Saccharomyces cerevisiae S288C: one gene and its partner. The protein of the gene in region 1 binds, or shares a complex with, the protein of each later gene. Each region holds a gene or a part of one and is shown on either strand. Other genes may lie near its edges. The genes, in order: EPO1 and BEM3. A codon is read from its position in the direction of its gene.

Region 1 (8,920 bases):
ATATCCGTTGTTTTAACTAGATAGTTTTGTTCAACGTATGCAAGTAACTCCTCCACTTTTGTCCTCAAACCGTCATTATTCCTATTAAAAAAGAACAAATACGGGATATTTAATAATGTATTGGTGTAAATTGCTTCAGATAAAGGAACTCTGTTACCTGGATCCAGATTGTTTAATTCGATACTCAATTCAAATAAGCTCTTGTAGATATTGATTAGTTCATCAACTAAAAACATGGGCGATAGAATGGATAAAAATCTCAGGATTAACTTGATCTTGTTCCATGGCCCAGTTTCATTTGACGTACTCTTGAATTCATCATTATATGTTTGCTTGCACCATTTTTGTAATTCTTCGAAGAAGTAATTGATAATACTCTTTCCGGCAACATTATTTTTCGAATTAACAACCATGGTTAAGAGAGCGATAGCAGCTTGCTTCTGTGGTTGCTCCACAACAACAGCGTTTAAAGTGCTCAGTAAAGCATTATTAAAGTAGTCCTCATGGCCATACTCATTCATTATAGCTTCACTCAAGAATTTGATATCATCTTCAAAAGCTTTAACAGATTCACCAATAGTGCGAATATCGGGCATCATTTCTTTACACAGTTGTACAACAGGTGGGATTCTCTGTCTTTTAGGCATGCGAGGCCTAAAATCACGGTAATTTTCATCTTCATCGAAGTCTAACGGTAAAATCATATGCAAGGTAGTCAAAGTTGGGTATGTTAGTAATTTGAATGAAACTGAATAATTGAGTTTTTGTAAAACCAAGCTAACCTAATAATCCTAGGAATGTAAAACAAAGTAAAGATGGAGAGTAAAATAAGAGAGGTTACTTGCCGTTATGTATTCTACGTGTACCGTTTCTCCACTTCTCTGTGCCACAAAAGTACACTTTTCTGTCACACCGTACTAACTGACAAAAAATGGAAATACCATCCTAATTGGTCTTGATATACACACTCTAGAACGAAACTTCTGGAAAACATTGGTTTTAAAACATACCTCCTCTTCTTTTTCTATTAAACATCTTAAATATATTTAAAATGCAATTGTAGCCCCAAACGCGTATACCAAAGTCGTTTTGATTAGCAATATACCTTCTGTCCTTCCTTTTTTACCCATTATACACTTTCACCTGTTGCTGAGTGTGAATTATATTTTTTTCAACTTTTTCAAGAACAATCTGAAAAAGCATCTTCTACGTGTAAAGTGATTTTATACTTACGTAGTATGATTTTGGTGCACTAAGCGATATATACAATAAAATACATCATTCATCTACTGTAAACGTCCTTTAAGCATTTCAATTTCTGAATCTCTCTCATCAATAAGTTTATTCAAGTTTTCAATTCTTCCTACTAGTTCCATAGAACTTGGTTTGGTGCCATTTTCTTGGAGTAATAACTGCTCCTCCGCAATGAATCTCTTTAATCTCTCGTCATTTAATTGCTGGATCAATTGCACAATTTTACTGGATTTTTTTCTCAGTTCCTTTTCAAAGTCAGAAAAAGACACACTCGAAGAATCGTCAAAAGATGGTGCTGAATTATTGGTTTCATACAGCCGTATTCTTTCTTCTAATTCAGTTTCCCTTTTTATCGATTCTGCTAATTCTGTAGACACCAGTGTCAACTCATTCATTAATTCTTTGTTTTCTGTTATCAAATTCAATTGCTCACCAGATATTGTTATCATCTTTGGCTGAGAGCTATCTTCTCCACTAGTTGATCCGGCGGAAGTTATGTCTCCTCTCCTAGCATATAACGGTTCATACGGTTTGGCTAAAGTATTATCAAAACTGAAGTCTTCTTCTGAAGCATTCATGCCATCCTTATCGTAGCTAACTGGGGCTGATTTTGTTTTGGAGGGTGAACCATCCATATGCGGTACAAAATTATCAGATTCTGAGGCGGAATCAATATTCAACGGCAGCGTATTGGAGATGAACGATCTACGGGAAGAGCTGGACATATGAGAAACTGCTGATAAATGACCATCGCGATTATTTTTTTTATATAGAAAAGTATCATTGTTGATGTTTTCCTGGTTCATGGATATGTTGACATTACTTAGTCTCCTGCCATTGCCATCGGATTCACGTCGCTTAATGGTAGCATCTGAGACATTTCTTTTGGGATCTCTTTCCGGTATGGATTGTAACAAAGAAGCCCTTTTACTAGTATTGAAATCAAAATCGACCTCGTTCGTTGTATTCATTTCGCCATTATCCGAATTTGAGTTATACTTTCCGGGAGAGGGGAATTCTTGTGCGGTCACGTATTCATTGATATCAGTAGAGTTTTCTAGCTTATACATACCTGTTCTGGTATTGATGATTCTTTGCTTGGAGGGAGAATCACTAAATGTGGATGAGAAAGTCGACAAGGACGCTCTATTGGCGACTGCACTTTCACTTTCCAATTTAAGATCTTTTAAACCAGTCTCTAGCGCACTCGCAGGTCTTAAATTTAAATCGTCTGATTCATGTGAAATTTCCTCCTCTTCATTTGCTTCAGTATTTTTCTCAGCTCTTTCCTTTTCTTTTTCTTCTACTAGTGCTTCTCTCTCACGTAAAGATTTTTCCATTTCAGCTAGCTTCCTTTCTTTTTCCTTTAACTCGTTTTGTTGAGGAGTGGATAATTGCAAAACATTCAGTTTTCCCTTGTTTTCAATAGGTTGATCAATGTTCACTTGTTTTTTTAGTGGTGAAGATCCTTGTTTTGTAGAGTTAGGCATTGCTGTAGCATCAGTAGGAGATGACGGAGAGAATGTAGTCAGGGAGTTGTTTTGTACGTTCGGTATTGAATAAGCTGAATTATTCTTTGAGGAAATTGACGATTGACTGATTGGCTGTTTCATGGACACAGCTTTACGATCGTTGTCATTTGGTGACCATGGATTAAACCCTTGGGGAACGTTCTGACTTTGTAGAGACATTGTCCGATAGCCTTCAGACATTGGATGAAGTTGAAGTTGTTGTTGTTGTTGTTGTTGTCTTTGTGATATCTGCTGATGACCTGCGAATGGCCGAGGATTTTGGGGTGAATATCTTGGGCCATTAGTTAATGACAGAGTACGTGGTTGCTGAGGTGGCTGTTGTCCAGAGGGCATTACTGGTGGGGTATTCTGGAATTGACCTGGGTGATTGTTGTAGTTGTTCATCGGTAGCATTCTTTGTTGCTGCGGCTGTCGAAATTGTCCGGGAGGTCCACTCATCAACGAATTTGATCTCGAATAATTAGCGCTCACCATTTTATTCGGTTGAAATCTAGGATGAGGAGTGGGTGCTTGCATTAAAGGATTACCATTCGGGAAACTTTGCAAAGACATTGCTCTCGGAGGCAACGAGGCTAATGTACCATTTTTAGTTTGTTTAGCCATGGCATTCATTGCGGTTTTCCTTTGATTAGTAATGTACTTCCTATACTCAGTATTACTCATATTGCCGCGGTCTTTAGTCACCAATGTTGGAATGATAGGAGTGGAATCACCACCATATCCATATTTGTCACCGCCCTTGTGACCGAAGGTCTGAATGTCATTGAATGTTAGGTCGGAGTTTGCAGAATCATCCAAGATAACCTCATCGTCATCATCACCATCTCCACCACCTCCTGTCCCCTTAGTGTTTTTCTTTGACTTCCCAAATTGATGCTTATGTTTGAAAAAATTGGAAAATGAGCTCTGGGTAAATGAGGAAGCTTTCTTACCATTAACATTATCGCGATTATTGCTTAGTGATGGTTTGGTGAAGTTATGCTGCATGAGGGGAATCTCATTCATATGTGGATTGGAATACTCAAAATTATACTGTTGTTGCTGGCGTTGCTGTTGTGAATAATTCTGCATGGGAATTTGACGTTGTTGAAGTGGCGCTTGTATTGGAGCCTCATTCATGCCATTACGGTAGTATTGCTGCTGCTGCTGCTGCTGCTGCGGCACGGAAGAAGGCTGGATGTTAATATTGCTGTCATTCCCGTTCCTTGAAATAGGTGTTTCATCCCTAATGTCAATATTTCCTATATCATTATTCAAGAGGTTATTTCTCAATTTAACTCTAGCAGAAGACTGACCGTTTCTTGTTGCCATGGTCGATAAACCTGCATCCATTTTGAACTTTTTATAAATAGTCTTTGAGTACTTTTTATCCCACTGCTTTATCGGATCAGGCTGTACCTCTCTGCTCTTTTTGTAGGGTTATTAATAGCTCGGTGAAAATTAATGAAAGAAAGCTCCAAATTTAGCTATAGCCGTAAACTAAAAAAAAAAAAATTAGGAGGGCAGTCACTAAAACAAAAAATCAGAATTCCTATGCAATGTGCTGCTGACACAGTTACTTGAAATGCCTATTTATTCACAATTTGAAGGGTTTGCGATGCTGAAAGAGTTGTTCTATTCAGTCGCACGCGTTAACTCTTTGCATGTGCTTCATTTGTCCATAATTGAGCCCAAAATTTGATTTAAAAAAAAGGAATTTTTGAAAAAAAAAAAATATCAGGGGAGACCCTGAAGCGGACAAAAAAATTTACAATTGCGGACATTTACCCGGAAGCTCTGTGATATACTAATAACAGAGATAATTATGTAGTCAATTATGTATCTGTCTATGCTTTTCTTGACCTAGATTGTGCTTGAGTCCGTCTGGCAGTACTAGTGGATTTCCCGCTTTCTTGCTTGTCTTCGCTGTCTTCCTTGATGGCACTGTCGTCCTTTTTATTGGCATCTTTATCCAGCTCATCATTATCCTTCAATTTGACGTGTGATAATTCGTTTATAAACCAGATAACGGTAATCCATAGTAAAAGTGATATACAGAAAAGAGCATAGAAGTGGATATTCCCGTTTGTGGCATAGATGAGCCAGATGAGGGTCAGTAGTAGTGCAACAAAAGATACGTGTGTGGCGATGATCAGCTGGGGGGAGGTCCCTGGTTCAAATACACTTTCCCACAGTCTAACAAAAAAATTGGCCATTTTGAGAAATTTTCGAAGTTATATCCCTGCGATTTTTGGCACTAATCAATTAGATGGACGTGTTCTTGGATATGACAAAAAGAAAAGACCATCTCTATTTTTCTTCATTTGATTTTCAGTCAAGCAAAAAACGCCGGGTAAACGCAGTCAAAGAAAATTAAAGAACATCTGCTATACCCTACCATGTTCTTAAAATATGAATGCGCTATTCAGGTTCATAGGCAAAGTTTTCACATGTCACTCGCCAAATAAAAATCAAAATTGAAATATATAGGTAAATAGATTGATAAAAAGACGTAATTAATCACCTGTACATCTTCAATTGGAGTTTCTGAGACACCGATATCTAGGACGAAAGAAACAACGGTAAATGATGATACCGTGCTTCGAGCAGACAGGGTCAGTAATCATACCAACAGAAAAATTCTCTTTGGTATAAGTAACGGTGTTACTGCCGGAAATACTCCCGAGAAAAACAGAACCTTCACTGGTTTTAATATTCACCTCAATGTAAGTGATGGTCTGACTTTGCCCTTATAATTAGCAGCAGCAGGAGTGGCGACACCAGAGATTAGGCACTAGTGAGGAGAAGAGATAGTCTGACTGGCCATTTTAGTTAATGGATATATAGTTTCCCATCTATTGAAAGGAGTGGAAACTATAACTGAAAACTGGGTTCTTGAGCAGGAATACTGCTTGTATACTTTTCTTGTATTTCACTGCTTCCTGTCCGATGCGCTAGCACGATGGAGCTCGGCAAAGAAAGACAGAGGAGAGAAACATCCTGAGGATTTTGCTTTGTGCAGAAAAGGTTCCATCCCTGCAATAAGGGTCCTCTTTGCTGCGGAAATTCGAAGAAACGAGATAACCATCCTGGGTTGTAGCGACCTCATCACCACCTAGACCCCTCGGTATGCAGCCAAAATCCATTTGTGTTTGCCTAAGGCACGGAATGGGAAATAAAGTATTTTAGATTGCATACGCATTTTCCCTCTGGGTAGGGAGTTGGTAAAAAAAAAATAGACAGAGTAGATTCGTAATAACTTAAATGGCTAAAGCGTGGGTACATCAGTGCAAACAAATACGATATTACCGTACCAATTGCACACTTCTTGGTAAGAAAAACTGGGAGCACACCTTACCCATAAAAAAGTGCATCGTTATTCCCATGGATAGGAAGAATAAGAATATATCACTCCTGCCTCCAGAATAGTAAATCTGTTTTCTCAGTAAATTATCCCTTTGAAACCTTACTGGATTTGGCTGTCATTGGTCGTAATTGCCCACAATTGAGGTTGCATTCTAAATGTTTCTTCCAATCAAAAATCAGTTAGATAAGTACCTTGGATGCCATTACATCGGGAAGCCCCTTTACTCAGAAGCCCGTTAGTTTCTTGAGTACTCCGATATAATTCCCCTATTTCTACAAATGCTACATAAAAAAATGCTGTGAATAAAGTCGCTAACAACAACTACTTATCGTGACTTGTCTAAAAAAAAAAAAACCTACATTTCAGAGTTAAAATAAATCTAAAGGTGCCACTGGAAAGAGTTATATGCGAGCTCCAGGTTCATATTCAAAAACATGACATCTTACTTTCTCTCGCGGTTGTGACCTCCTTCAATGAATTTGATATTGCTAACCAACAATCATCAATATTTTTGTTTTACCCGTCTTCTCGTTTTCTGAACGTGACACTAGCAATGTCAGACGTTCATTCTCACTTTCTGTCACGTGCTCGCATTGCGAGCAAAAAAAGCCTTACCACCACTCGATTAATCTAATGAGTTGCTGTATTAATAAATAAATTTTTATATTAAAATATATTATAGGAAACATGCAATGGCCCAATTGGCCTAAATATATATAACTCCCACAAGTTCGCCCACCTCTTCATTGGTTTAACTAGGCGTCAACCGCGAGTCCATTATGATATGATTTTTATGTAATTTTTCTGTTAATCAATCGTTCCCTTTGATAGTACAATAAGCAGAAGGAAAAAAAAAGGCTTTTAGAAACTTCTTAAATACCGGTGCCTAGGACGAAAGAAACAGCAGCAAATGCGGCCATGATGATACCGTACTTCGAGGAAACAGGGTTTGCAACCATGCCTGGAGCAGCGTTCTTTGAACTGGAAGTAGTGTTCTTAGCGGCACTGGAACTAGCAGTAGAAGTAGCAGAGACGGAAGAGGCGGCAACGACATTGTTGGAAACTAAGGCACTGTTAGTTTTGATGGAGGAGGAAGCGGAAGCGGAAGTGGAAGTACTGCTGGCCATTTTTATTCAGGTTATTTGCGATTAGGTTGGGGTTTGTGTTTGATGGAGACCTCAGTAATTAACAGTACATTCTGAGAGCGGCAAACAGAATTCTGCCTTAAATTCAGATCGTTTATATACTTTTTTTTCACTTTTTACGCTCGAGACACCATAACCCAAAAATAGATCAAACTAGCCATTGTATTTTTCACCAATATGGCAATGTGATTTCCGCATTAGGCAATACTGTGAAAGACTCTATGCTACGTCAGTTCGGAGGCGTGTTTCGCAATCTTCGCGTTCCAGAACGCACCAACGCGTTGTTATTTGCGCAGCACAAGGGGGACGAGAGACATTCTGGCCAACGTGCATTCGACGGAAGTAAATTTCGGCTGGAGGCTAAGCGCTGCTTTACTGCAATTTGCATCATTACGGTGGCTCGCAGGGATAGATTGGGCGTACTGGTTTGTGGCAAAAACACCGCCTCCACGCTACCTTATTTGCCAGCCAACCGCATATTCAGGTTGCCAAAGGTACAGATCAGGAAAATGTTTCCCATTGGATGCGCAACTTTCCTTAGTAGGGAATATATAATCACTGCATTGCTGGTTTCGTACTGCCATCTTTGCGTTTAAAGTATAACCAAATTAATAAAGCGACTACGCCGCTATCCAAAACAGGCTCCTCCAGCTCCTTTAAGGAAACAAACGTCTTTTTTCTTTACTCTTATTTTTTGCACCGATTGCTAGAATACTTCTCCAATCTCTTCAAATGATGATACAAACATGTAGTCAGTAGAGATGTATCTGTCTTGATGCTCCATATGTCGTTACCCGGAAAACATCTTTCTTGTTCCTTTCGATACTTTTCCACGTTTTCAATTAACCGGAGCCATTGATAATTTCATTCACTCTTGAGAAGTTAGCGGCAATAGTAATCGGCGAAAGCTACCGTAAAGACAGTCACAAATTACCTACCACACAAGCAATGGGAGCCTACAAATATTTAGAAGAATTAGAAAGAAAGAAGCAATCTGATGTTTTGAGATTCTTGCAAAGAGTCAGGGTCTGGGAATACAGACAAAAAAATGTCATTCACAGAGCCGCTAGACCAACTAGACCAGACAAGGCTAGGAGACTAGGCTACAAAGCCAAGCAAGGTTTCGTTATCTACCGTGTCAGGGTTAGACGCGGTAACAGAAAGAGACCTGTTCCAAAGGGTGCTACTTACGGTAAGCCAACTAACCAAGGTGTCAATGAATTGAAATACCAAAGATCCTTGAGAGCTACCGCTGAAGAAAGAGTTGGCCGTCGTGCTGCTAACTTGAGAGTCTTGAACTCCTACTGGGTCAACCAAGACTCTACTTACAAGTACTTCGAAGTTATATTGGTTGATCCTCAACACAAGGCTATCAGAAGAGATGCTCGGTACAACTGGATCTGCAATCCCGTCCATAAGCATCGTGAAGCTAGAGGCTTGACTGCCACCGGTAAGAAATCCAGGGGTATCAACAAGGGACACAAATTCAACAACACCAAGGCCGGCAGAAGAAAGACCTGGAAAAGACAAAATACTCTGTCGTTATGGAGGTATAGAAAATGAAATAGTTAGAACCGTATATAGATCAATAATAATGCACTATGAACATTTTTTCAACCTGATTACTTCATCGTTCCTTTTCT
Region 2 (8,920 bases), on another chromosome or scaffold:
TACACCACGGTGATGGGACCCAAGACATTTGCTGGAAACGTGCGGGTTTCAAACCTGAGGAGGAACCTGAAGATTCATCTTATGATGATTTTGGTAAGAAATTTGCCGAATTTCCCAAAGTCGGTTATTTTTCTATGCATGATATAAATTCATTTCCAACAGAGTCGGGATTTGCCACAAAGGAGAACATTAAAAATGCATCTACCTGTATCATGAACTCTCATGACCTAAACATCTGGAATATTCACTTATCCAAATGGACAACCGAAGAAGAATTCAATGTATTATACAGGACAAAATATAGAACTTTATTTGCTAAAGCAGATGAATTTTTCAGGAGCGCAAAACTAGAAATGAATCAACAAGGGAGACCATTCAAAGGTTTGGTTGTCATAAGCGCAGGTTTCGATGCATCAGAATTTGAGCAAACTTCAATGCAAAGGCATAGTGTCAACGTTCCTACAAGTTTTTATACAACGTTCACCAAAGATGCATTGAAATTAGCACAAATGCACTGTCATGGCAAAGTTTTGTCTCTAATGGAGGGTGGATATTCTGATAAAGCTATATGTTCTGGTGTTTTCGCACATTTGATCGGTTTACAAAACCAAGATTGGGTTAAAGAATGGGGGTCTGAACAAGTCGTTAAAGAGATTGTTCGTGGTTGCAAACCGGCTTGGAAACCCTATAAGACAAAAAGAGCAAAAGATGTCATAAGAATATGGGCAGAAGAAGTTATCAGGCTGGGACGAGCAATGATACCGGAATTCGATGATATCATTTTTAAAGACGCAGTTAACAGCGCACCTTCTAATTCTCTACTAAAGGCTACTGTCGAACCAGCATCCACGTCGACAATTGCTCAAAGAATAATCAGATCTCATAGAAGCAACGCTTCCCCAGAAAAAGAACTTCATGAAAACAAGCCGAGAAGCACGGAAAAACAGGAACAAAGGGAAATTAGAAGCGATACCAAGGTCAAGCAGCTCTCGTCAAATAATAGAGCAGCTGAAACCCAAATTCCGTTTTTGCAACAAGAATTTTCCAGTGAGGATGAAGATGAAGAATACGTTTACGATGAAGAATTGAACAAAACTTTCAATCGCACGGTGGAGGATATTACCATTGATGATATTTCTAGACATTTGGAGACCTTAGAAATTGAAAAAAAAGGTGATGAAGATTCAGACCATGAGCTAAAAGAAAAAAATTGGAAAAACTCGCACCAACGCCGTCTACAAGGTAATGGAATGTATAAAATTCCCTCCAATACGAAACCGCATCGCATAAGACAGCCTCAAAACGCAAATACACCAACTTATGACGATAGTGATATATCAATGATTTCTCATGTTTCAAGAAAACATACAACAAGAAGTGGTGGAAGATGGTGATACCAATGCATATATAATGTTGTCTTGAACCCACTAAAGAAGTGACGCATATATTACTTTTTTGTATTTAGTAACACAATTTTTCTATTTTTATATTTCCTTGTATAGTTAGTAATTTTAATTTTTTTCCTTCTTTATCTCAGCTCTTCGACCATTTGGTCAAGAAGTTAGTTTTTTTCTCTTATTTTATTTGACAATATACTAATTTTATTATATGGTATTGTAAATAACATTTGAGGAATAAAAAGACAGTCACTCTATAAGCTTTATCAGCCTGACATTTTTTTATTATTACAAATATATCGTTGAAAGAAAGAAGCCTCTATACATCTCGCCCTCTTTCTATCATTAAATCAATGGAGGTTTACTGGCAACGTTATATTTCTACAATTTTAGACCATCAAACCTGAGGAATATGTATATCTACTTTCTCCCTTTCCTCTTCTTTAACTGGTTCACCACCCTGAAATATACACGCAAAGTCAGTGATGAATGGTTGAAGCATACTAATTGGAATATTTAGAGTTGGGGAAAACACGATGCATAAATTTCTTAGATTCATCTTATTAAACTTACTATTCTCATTGATCCTTACCAGCAGTTCAAAAAGAGCATACATCAACGATAGGTTAGCGTGAGGAACTAGGCCAGATTCAATAAGTTCCTTAAACCCCAATGATATTTGAACAGGATTATTATGATTTTCATCAACTACTCTTTTAAACGACAAAAATTGTTCGTCACCAAATAATAAATGGGGCAACTTTCTCAAGTACAACTTTAGTAACCCACTTACAGTATTCACACCAATGTAAAGACTTGGAGATGCCTCATCATCTTTAGCTTCAATACTTTCATTGTACCGACATAAATCTACATCGTACTCTTTATCAAACCTTTCTTGTAAAGTTTTGATAACTGTACTGGACCCGCTTAGTCTAAATATGCCTTCTTCCTGGATACCACGGTTTTTGTAAAGATACTCTAAGCAACGATAAACTACACTCGGTAAATCGTAAACGTTTTGGTACTTATGCGAACTCAATCTTAAACACGTTTCTAGTGACGAGCCAAATATTGCAGTGGACACATGTGGACCCGTAGAAGAATTTGACGAAGAGGATACTTCCATTAATTTTTTGCTTGGTGACTTAATGATAGAGTCAGGAGATGTTGGAGAATCCGAATCATTTGAAATTGTAATACCTATATGGTTCATTGCACTCGCCGGGCCGGTTAATTTTTTAAAAGGGAATAAACTTCTCATTTTGGCTCTCCTACTATCCTTCTCCTCCTCTGCATTCCCGCTTGAACTTGCTAGGAAGTTAGAGTGAGAAGATGGGTTTGAGTCAATACCATCGCTATTAGCAATGTTATTGCTACTATTACTAATATTGTTATTATTATTATATTCTTGGGTCAAATCAGTGACATATGATGGAGTATCGGTTGCTGAGATAGTTGCGTTTCCAAATTTAGAATGGTGTGTTCCTGCGCTCAAGTGAGATGCAGAATCAGTATCGTTTGCATTCCTCGAGCTAGATAACGATAAACTTTGTGAAGGATCAATGTAATCACTAAACGCAGAAAGCCATAATTCACGTTCCTTCGACGTTTCAGTACAAATATAATACTTTGTTGAGGTTGACAGTCCGCTTTTCTTATGCTCAGTGATCAAAAACCCATTTCTCGTTCCAAATCTATCTTCAGGGAGATTGGGTATAAGTTCTATAGAAGATTGTCTCAATTTAATAGTTTCAGTCAACTGATTTTTGTCAAACAATTGTAAAACATCATCGCGCAAAATACCGTACCGAACTCTCCATGTACTATTACCTGTTAGAGTCTTTGGTCTTCTCAGCAAAAGTGATCCGTCTTTCACATTATCATCCATCATTGGAGGTGTCATTACTGTATCTGTACTAATAAATTGGGCGATTTTTAAACCAACATTTTTGGGAAATTCAGGGACACTGAATATGCTTGTATAATACTGATTCAATATGTTCTTTCGCGTATCCACTTTTGTAGGTGATAAAGTCTGAAATAATTGTCTATCAGGTAACGTGGGCAATGGTAAATCGGGAACATGTGATTTCATATATACATCTAATTCGCGAACTTTATGAATAGATTTTGAAAATTTAAACATCTCCTTACCGGATTTCCTGTCTATGATTGCAATTAAAATGGATAAATCATCTTCATTATCCCTGTACAATGTGCTCAGTACTTCAATCTGGATAGTGCCAAAATCCTCCGGTTGAACGAATAATGGAATATCCGACTTAAGACTTTGGGCCACAGACTTCACGGTGCTCACGCTACTTGCATGAGGTCTTCTAAGTGTCTTCAACGAACCTTGGGGTGTTGAGCTAAATGTATTCAAGGTATTGGTTGAATGGATGGATGCCGTTTCTCCAAGTTGTTTTTGTTTTGATGAACTTTCCACGGGAGGATTTGGAGGAAGAGAAGCATTTTGACTTGTTGTTGACAATTTTGTAGAAAGATTGGGGAGTGATGAAGTTAACACAGGTTTCTTTAAATTTTTTGCACTTTGAGCACCAAAATTATCATCCTTTTTATTCAAGATAACCGGAGAAGCCAAATGGCTTGATAAAGGAGTAGAGTTTTTTATATTTCCACTAGAAGTAGGTGAGAAAAAAGTTGGAGGCGCTGGAGGTGGGGGTAAAGATTCGTTAATCGTGGATTTTATGGACAGAGGATCTTTACTGTCCGTATTGACTAGATCCTCTTCGCCAAATGAGGAGTCAAGTAATTGGGTGAAGTCGTCAAGTTTTTCTTTAGATGCTGGAGAGAAACCCAAAGCCTTGTTTTCACCCTCCTTGACTTCCAAAAGGGATGATGGACTTTTGGCTGCTGAAGTAGGAGTTCCAGTAGTGTATGCAGAGGATGTTATAGAAGAATAAACGCGGTCATTTTTTTGTATCGCGTCATTAGTTAGTTGTTGACTTTTACTTTCAGTCAGCTCATCTAAATTATTAGAGGTACTGGCCTTTAATGGAGAATGCAAATGGTTGTTGATAACAGCCGTCATTCTGTTAGGATTTTGAGGGGAACGCAAACGTTCTTGCAATGGAGATTTCGAACCTTTATTAGGTGATTTTATGGTTATCCTAGACGTCGTATAGGTAACAGAGGCAGCTGGGCTAGCCAACTGTTCTGAATGTATTTTTGTAGGGCTTGAGACAGATCTATTGATAATTTTGGGAGATGAGAAGCTACTATTTGCTTCTATTTCATCGTTTAGTATCATGTTCTGTAAATGCTTCCTACTTATTGAAGTATTTGATGTAACACCTATTTGAGGTACTGTAGGCGTTACACTTGTTTCAAGTGCAACGTCTGAACCTTGTTGCAATGGAGGGGACAATGTCGGTATTGGCAAATTAAGACTCTTGATATGCGCTTTCCTTTCAGCAGATCTTGGGGGTAACACAAATGATTGATCGTTAACGTATGAATCTCTTGAGTCATTTTGAACTTGCTCAAGCACAACTTCTAAGGAAGCTTCTCTGTTTTTTTGTAACATATCAATAACCTTTTCCAAACTCTCAATTTCAGTTTCATATTCTTGGACTTGTAGCTTTAGCTTAATGTTTTCCGTAAAAATTTCATCATAGGACGGATTTCTTTCTTTTCCTGAACATGTTCCTTTTTCTATATGTTCTATAGATTTGTCCTTTTTGGATCTATGATCATTGTACTGCGCCAACAATTCAAGGGTGGTACTACCACCATGAGTTGTGGTCAAATTATCTGTCATTGCGTGCTGTTAGTTGAGTGTGAGTTTATTCTAGAATATACACACAGATACTCCTAGCAGCCAGTGTTTCAACAAACGTGATGTTGTATATGCCTGATGTAATCACGAACTCGAACAAAAGGCAAAATGGTAGAAGGCAAGGACAAAGAAGAAAAGAGAAAAAACTTCCAGATACAAAGCTAACACACAAAGGTAAACGGTGATTAAAATGGATATATCGTTGATGTATTTAACAATCTTGAAAAATTCCGTTTAAAAAACATACCAATACGCGCAATAAAAACGGTTCTTATCTGGTACTTTACCTAGTCAGACGATTATTGTTCTTTATAAAACGGCCGCGTTTTTTTTCCAACATCACCGCCGCCATATAACTTTCGACATTCTTAGAGTTGTGGTATAAAGAGCAATGCATATACGTATGTAATCCTAATTGAAATGCTATCTTTGTAACATAATGAATGGTTCAGTTGAGCACATACTTACCATCACCTCCCTCGACAAATATGTCCTGCACATTCTCGAGTGTGATGAGTGTCTGCTTTATGACCATGTCGGCAACTGTGCTGCCGATATGTGGCAAAGCTGTAACATCCCATCTGCGAAGTAACTCTTGCTTAACGCGTGTTTCCTCATTTTTAAACACATCGAGACCACAGCTTGCCACTTTTCCAGATTCAAGAGCGTCTAGTAGCACATCTTCATCTATGCATGTGCCTCTCCCAACGTTAACTATCCTGACACCATCTTTACACCAGGCCAAACTTTTACGATTGATAATATTGTTTGTAGAGGCCGTACTGGGCAAGGCCAAAATGATCAAATCCGCATTCTTCCAAGTATTTGGATCATCTAGATCAGAATGGTACTTAGCGTTGTAATCAAGTAGACTCTTTTGGACGGGACCGGTCCTTTTGTAGTATTCAATGCTCATGTTGAACACTTTGTGCAAGTTAGACCCTATATTTTGTCCGATGGAGCCAAACCCCAATATTAGAACTTTTTTATTCATTGGAGATTCCATTTTTTTCCCGCCAACCGTGTACTTTTCTGCTAAATGTACCACTTTCCTATCCTTGTTAGGCTTGCATTTGTCTGTTCGAGAGGGAAATTTCATTTCCTGACCGTGGTAACTATCTGTAACAATTTCATACGAGTCACTAGAGATATATTTCTTACACTGTTCAACATTACCATTTTCCACGTATTTAAAACAATATTCCCAAAATGAAGTCATTCTAAAGCAGCTAATTGCTAGGAAAATAGCCAATTCTGTGACATGGTCAGCAGCATGTGGTCCAATGTTGCATAAAGTGATACCTTTCGATCTTAATAACTTACCGTCAATAAAGTCACAGCCGACCCATGGTACAAGGATTACTTTTAAAGATGCGGGGAAGAATTCAATATAACTCGAAGGGTTTCCTAACACAGTGAAAAACTCCTCAGTGAGCCAAAAGCCGTTTATTCTATGAGTTTCCAAAAATTTAACAAAATCATCCTTTGTGGACATCTCATATTTATAGAATTCTACCCTTTCTGCCAGTTTGCGATATTCAGGAAGATGACTGGCGACTTCCCATTGGGTTTTATAAGGCACCAAAATTCTTGGTTTGGCAGAATAAGTTACATCTGCTATGTCAATTGAAGTAATCATTGTTATTTAAAGGTTGCTACTTTTGTACACTCAAGTATTTTTCTGTATTTGAGAGAGAGCTATTTGTACTCCACACTCCACCTTTTAGATCTGCGTCAAAGTGTCAGAATAAACATACCGTAAAACGGAATGACTACCGCCACCCCAATGACATAAAAACGGAAGAAAAAGAGCAAAAACCGAGCGCCAAACTATCTTATTCAACGAATCAAATAACAATACAAATGCAGAGGTAAAACATTATTCGCCACATATATATGTACATATCTATATGTATACATATTTTTATATATCAATCTTTTGAAGAGCAAAGTGACCTCTTTGTTGTTATCCAAAGTTTAACCAGTCCAGTTAAGCCGGATCCCAGGGACAGAACGGCATACGTTCCCTTTGGAGTTTTTAAATTTAGAATATCTGATGTATTAGCCATGCAATCAAACGATAATCTTGCAATATCTAAATAAACAAGTGTCTTTTCATCCTTGATGGCCTTTAGTTGTTTGTGTATTAACACCTCTGCGTCGTTATTAACATTTAGGTCATTTAACAACTGTTTCCTAATTGGCGATTGTGAGCCATCGTCTTTATGGGCCTGATGCATCAGTATGGGTGAGAGTAGTAACGCGTTATTTTGAACTTTTAGTTGCACTTCCAATTCTAATTGTCTCTTCTGTAAGCTTTGCAGGTTGAGCCAATGGTCCTTCAAGCTTAAAAGAATGTCGTATTGCCATGCAAGAGACTCTTGTCTACTGACAAAGGAATAGAATGATTTATTTGTCCATATTTTCAATTTGTATAGCAAGTCTAATTCATCAAAGATACCATAATACAAGTCCAAAAATTCTCTCAATGAAGCTTCATTAAACCATATTTTCTTAATTTGGTCAATTTGAAAGTTGCACTTTCTGGTTTTATTGAATTTCCCCAAGAAACTGCACACTCGGAATGGTGTGCCGCCAAACCTTAAAATATATCTAAAAGTACTTAATTGTTGACTGATAAAATCAATTTTCTTGTCAAAATTTCTCAAAAGAGACAGGAGAAGTACTTTAATTACCGTGATTGGATGCCTTAGTGCGACTTTTACAGTCAGATTTTTCAAAATCTTGGTATAGTACGTTAATACGGAAGGGTCCAAAACAGTTAAATTTCGCTTAGACTTTTCGATAAACAGTTTTAATATATCCAGAGCGTATTTGATAATTTTGGCTAATTTGTCTCTACCAGATAGAGAATCCAATATATATTTTAAGATGGTAATATTATCCACCATCTTTGTTTTTGCTTGAGAATCCTCATCATCACTTCTCGAGGATTCAGTATGCGACTCGCTTCCACTGCCTGCACTGAACTTCTCTGCACCGGCGTCTGATGAATGTGGATGGGTATTGTCATCCTGGGCGTCCTGGTAACTTGCCCCAGAATAAGGTGGTGTTTCTGAACCGGAAACGATATCTGTCGTGCCAAACTGACTCATTGTTTTACGACCAGTTTCTATAGGTGAAGACTTACAGGGAAGTTGAGGATATCGACTCTATTTGTTACTTTCTCCAGCATACAAATTACCGATGATTCTGAGAAGAAAGAAGAAAAACGTATTTCAAAAATTATATAACCTGAAATAATAAGCCCAATCCCACCGGAATTTCATATACTATCACCGACCTGGAAAAAAAATGAAGAGTAAAAAGAAAAAAATAAATTTAGCGCCGCTCGGTTTCGATCCGAGGACATCAGGGTTATGAGCCCTGCGCGCTTCCACTGCGCCACGGCGCTGCTAAATCATGTGAGTTTAGCGCGTACCGAGCAAATTCACCAAAATATTTACATCCAATTTGCTCCCCTCACTCTTCCCCGATGTCGGTTGTGATTACTGCTACGCATGGCGACTCTTAATTTCTTTCAGGTATAGTAACATTTACTCCTTTAAGTAATTGTCTATTTTTCCTCGACACTGTATGTAGTTACCTTTCAAGGAAGCTATTCCAATACCATCGTGAGAAAAACTCTATTGGATACTTCATCTAGCTCGTATATATGCTTTTTAAACTTTATACCAAACCGTGTAGGCAAAACTGGACC

What was found.
Region 2: the proteins of EPO1 (region 1) and BEM3 are in contact, whole or in part, in a crystal structure (PDB 6LP3), measured with the Saccharomyces cerevisiae proteins. Residues at the interface, in NP_013843.1 of Saccharomyces cerevisiae: Asp870, Lys873, Glu874, Lys877, Lys878, Lys881, Gln884, Leu885, Gln888, Leu889, Glu892, Arg896, Glu900, Leu903, Glu907; in NP_015210.1 of Saccharomyces cerevisiae: Phe53 (codon at 5,025), Thr54 (codon at 5,022), Ile57 (codon at 5,013), Lys58 (codon at 5,010), Leu61 (codon at 5,001), Gln64 (codon at 4,992), Glu65 (codon at 4,989), Thr68 (codon at 4,980), Glu69 (codon at 4,977), Ser72 (codon at 4,968), Leu73 (codon at 4,965), Val76 (codon at 4,956), Met79 (codon at 4,947), Asn83 (codon at 4,935), Ser87 (codon at 4,923), Val90 (codon at 4,914).

What each region holds. Positions count from the first base shown.
Region 1 is NC_001145.3:509,654-518,573, reverse strand, and holds EPO1 (Epo1p), read right to left. Parts: upstream 4,119-8,920; coding exon 1,287-4,118; downstream 1-1,286. Other genes in the region: STO1 (Sto1p), read right to left, coding at 1-688, 1,011-1,035; PKR1 (Pkr1p), read right to left, coding at 4,613-4,981; NCW1 (Ncw1p), read right to left, coding at 7,005-7,259; YMR122C (uncharacterized protein), read left to right, coding at 7,499-7,873; 60S ribosomal protein eL15 RPL15B, read left to right, coding at 8,226-8,840.
Region 2 is NC_001148.4:330,306-339,225, forward strand, and holds BEM3 (GTPase-activating protein BEM3), read right to left. Parts: upstream 5,182-8,920; coding exon 1,795-5,181; downstream 1-1,794. Other genes in the region: HOS3 (histone deacetylase), read left to right, coding at 1-1,394; YPL113C (glyoxylate reductase), read right to left, coding at 5,648-6,838; PEX25 (Pex25p), read right to left, coding at 7,131-8,315. UniProt on the Saccharomyces cerevisiae protein: GTPase-activating protein (GAP) for CDC42 and less efficiently for RHO1. Negative regulator of the pheromone-response pathway through the STE20 protein kinase.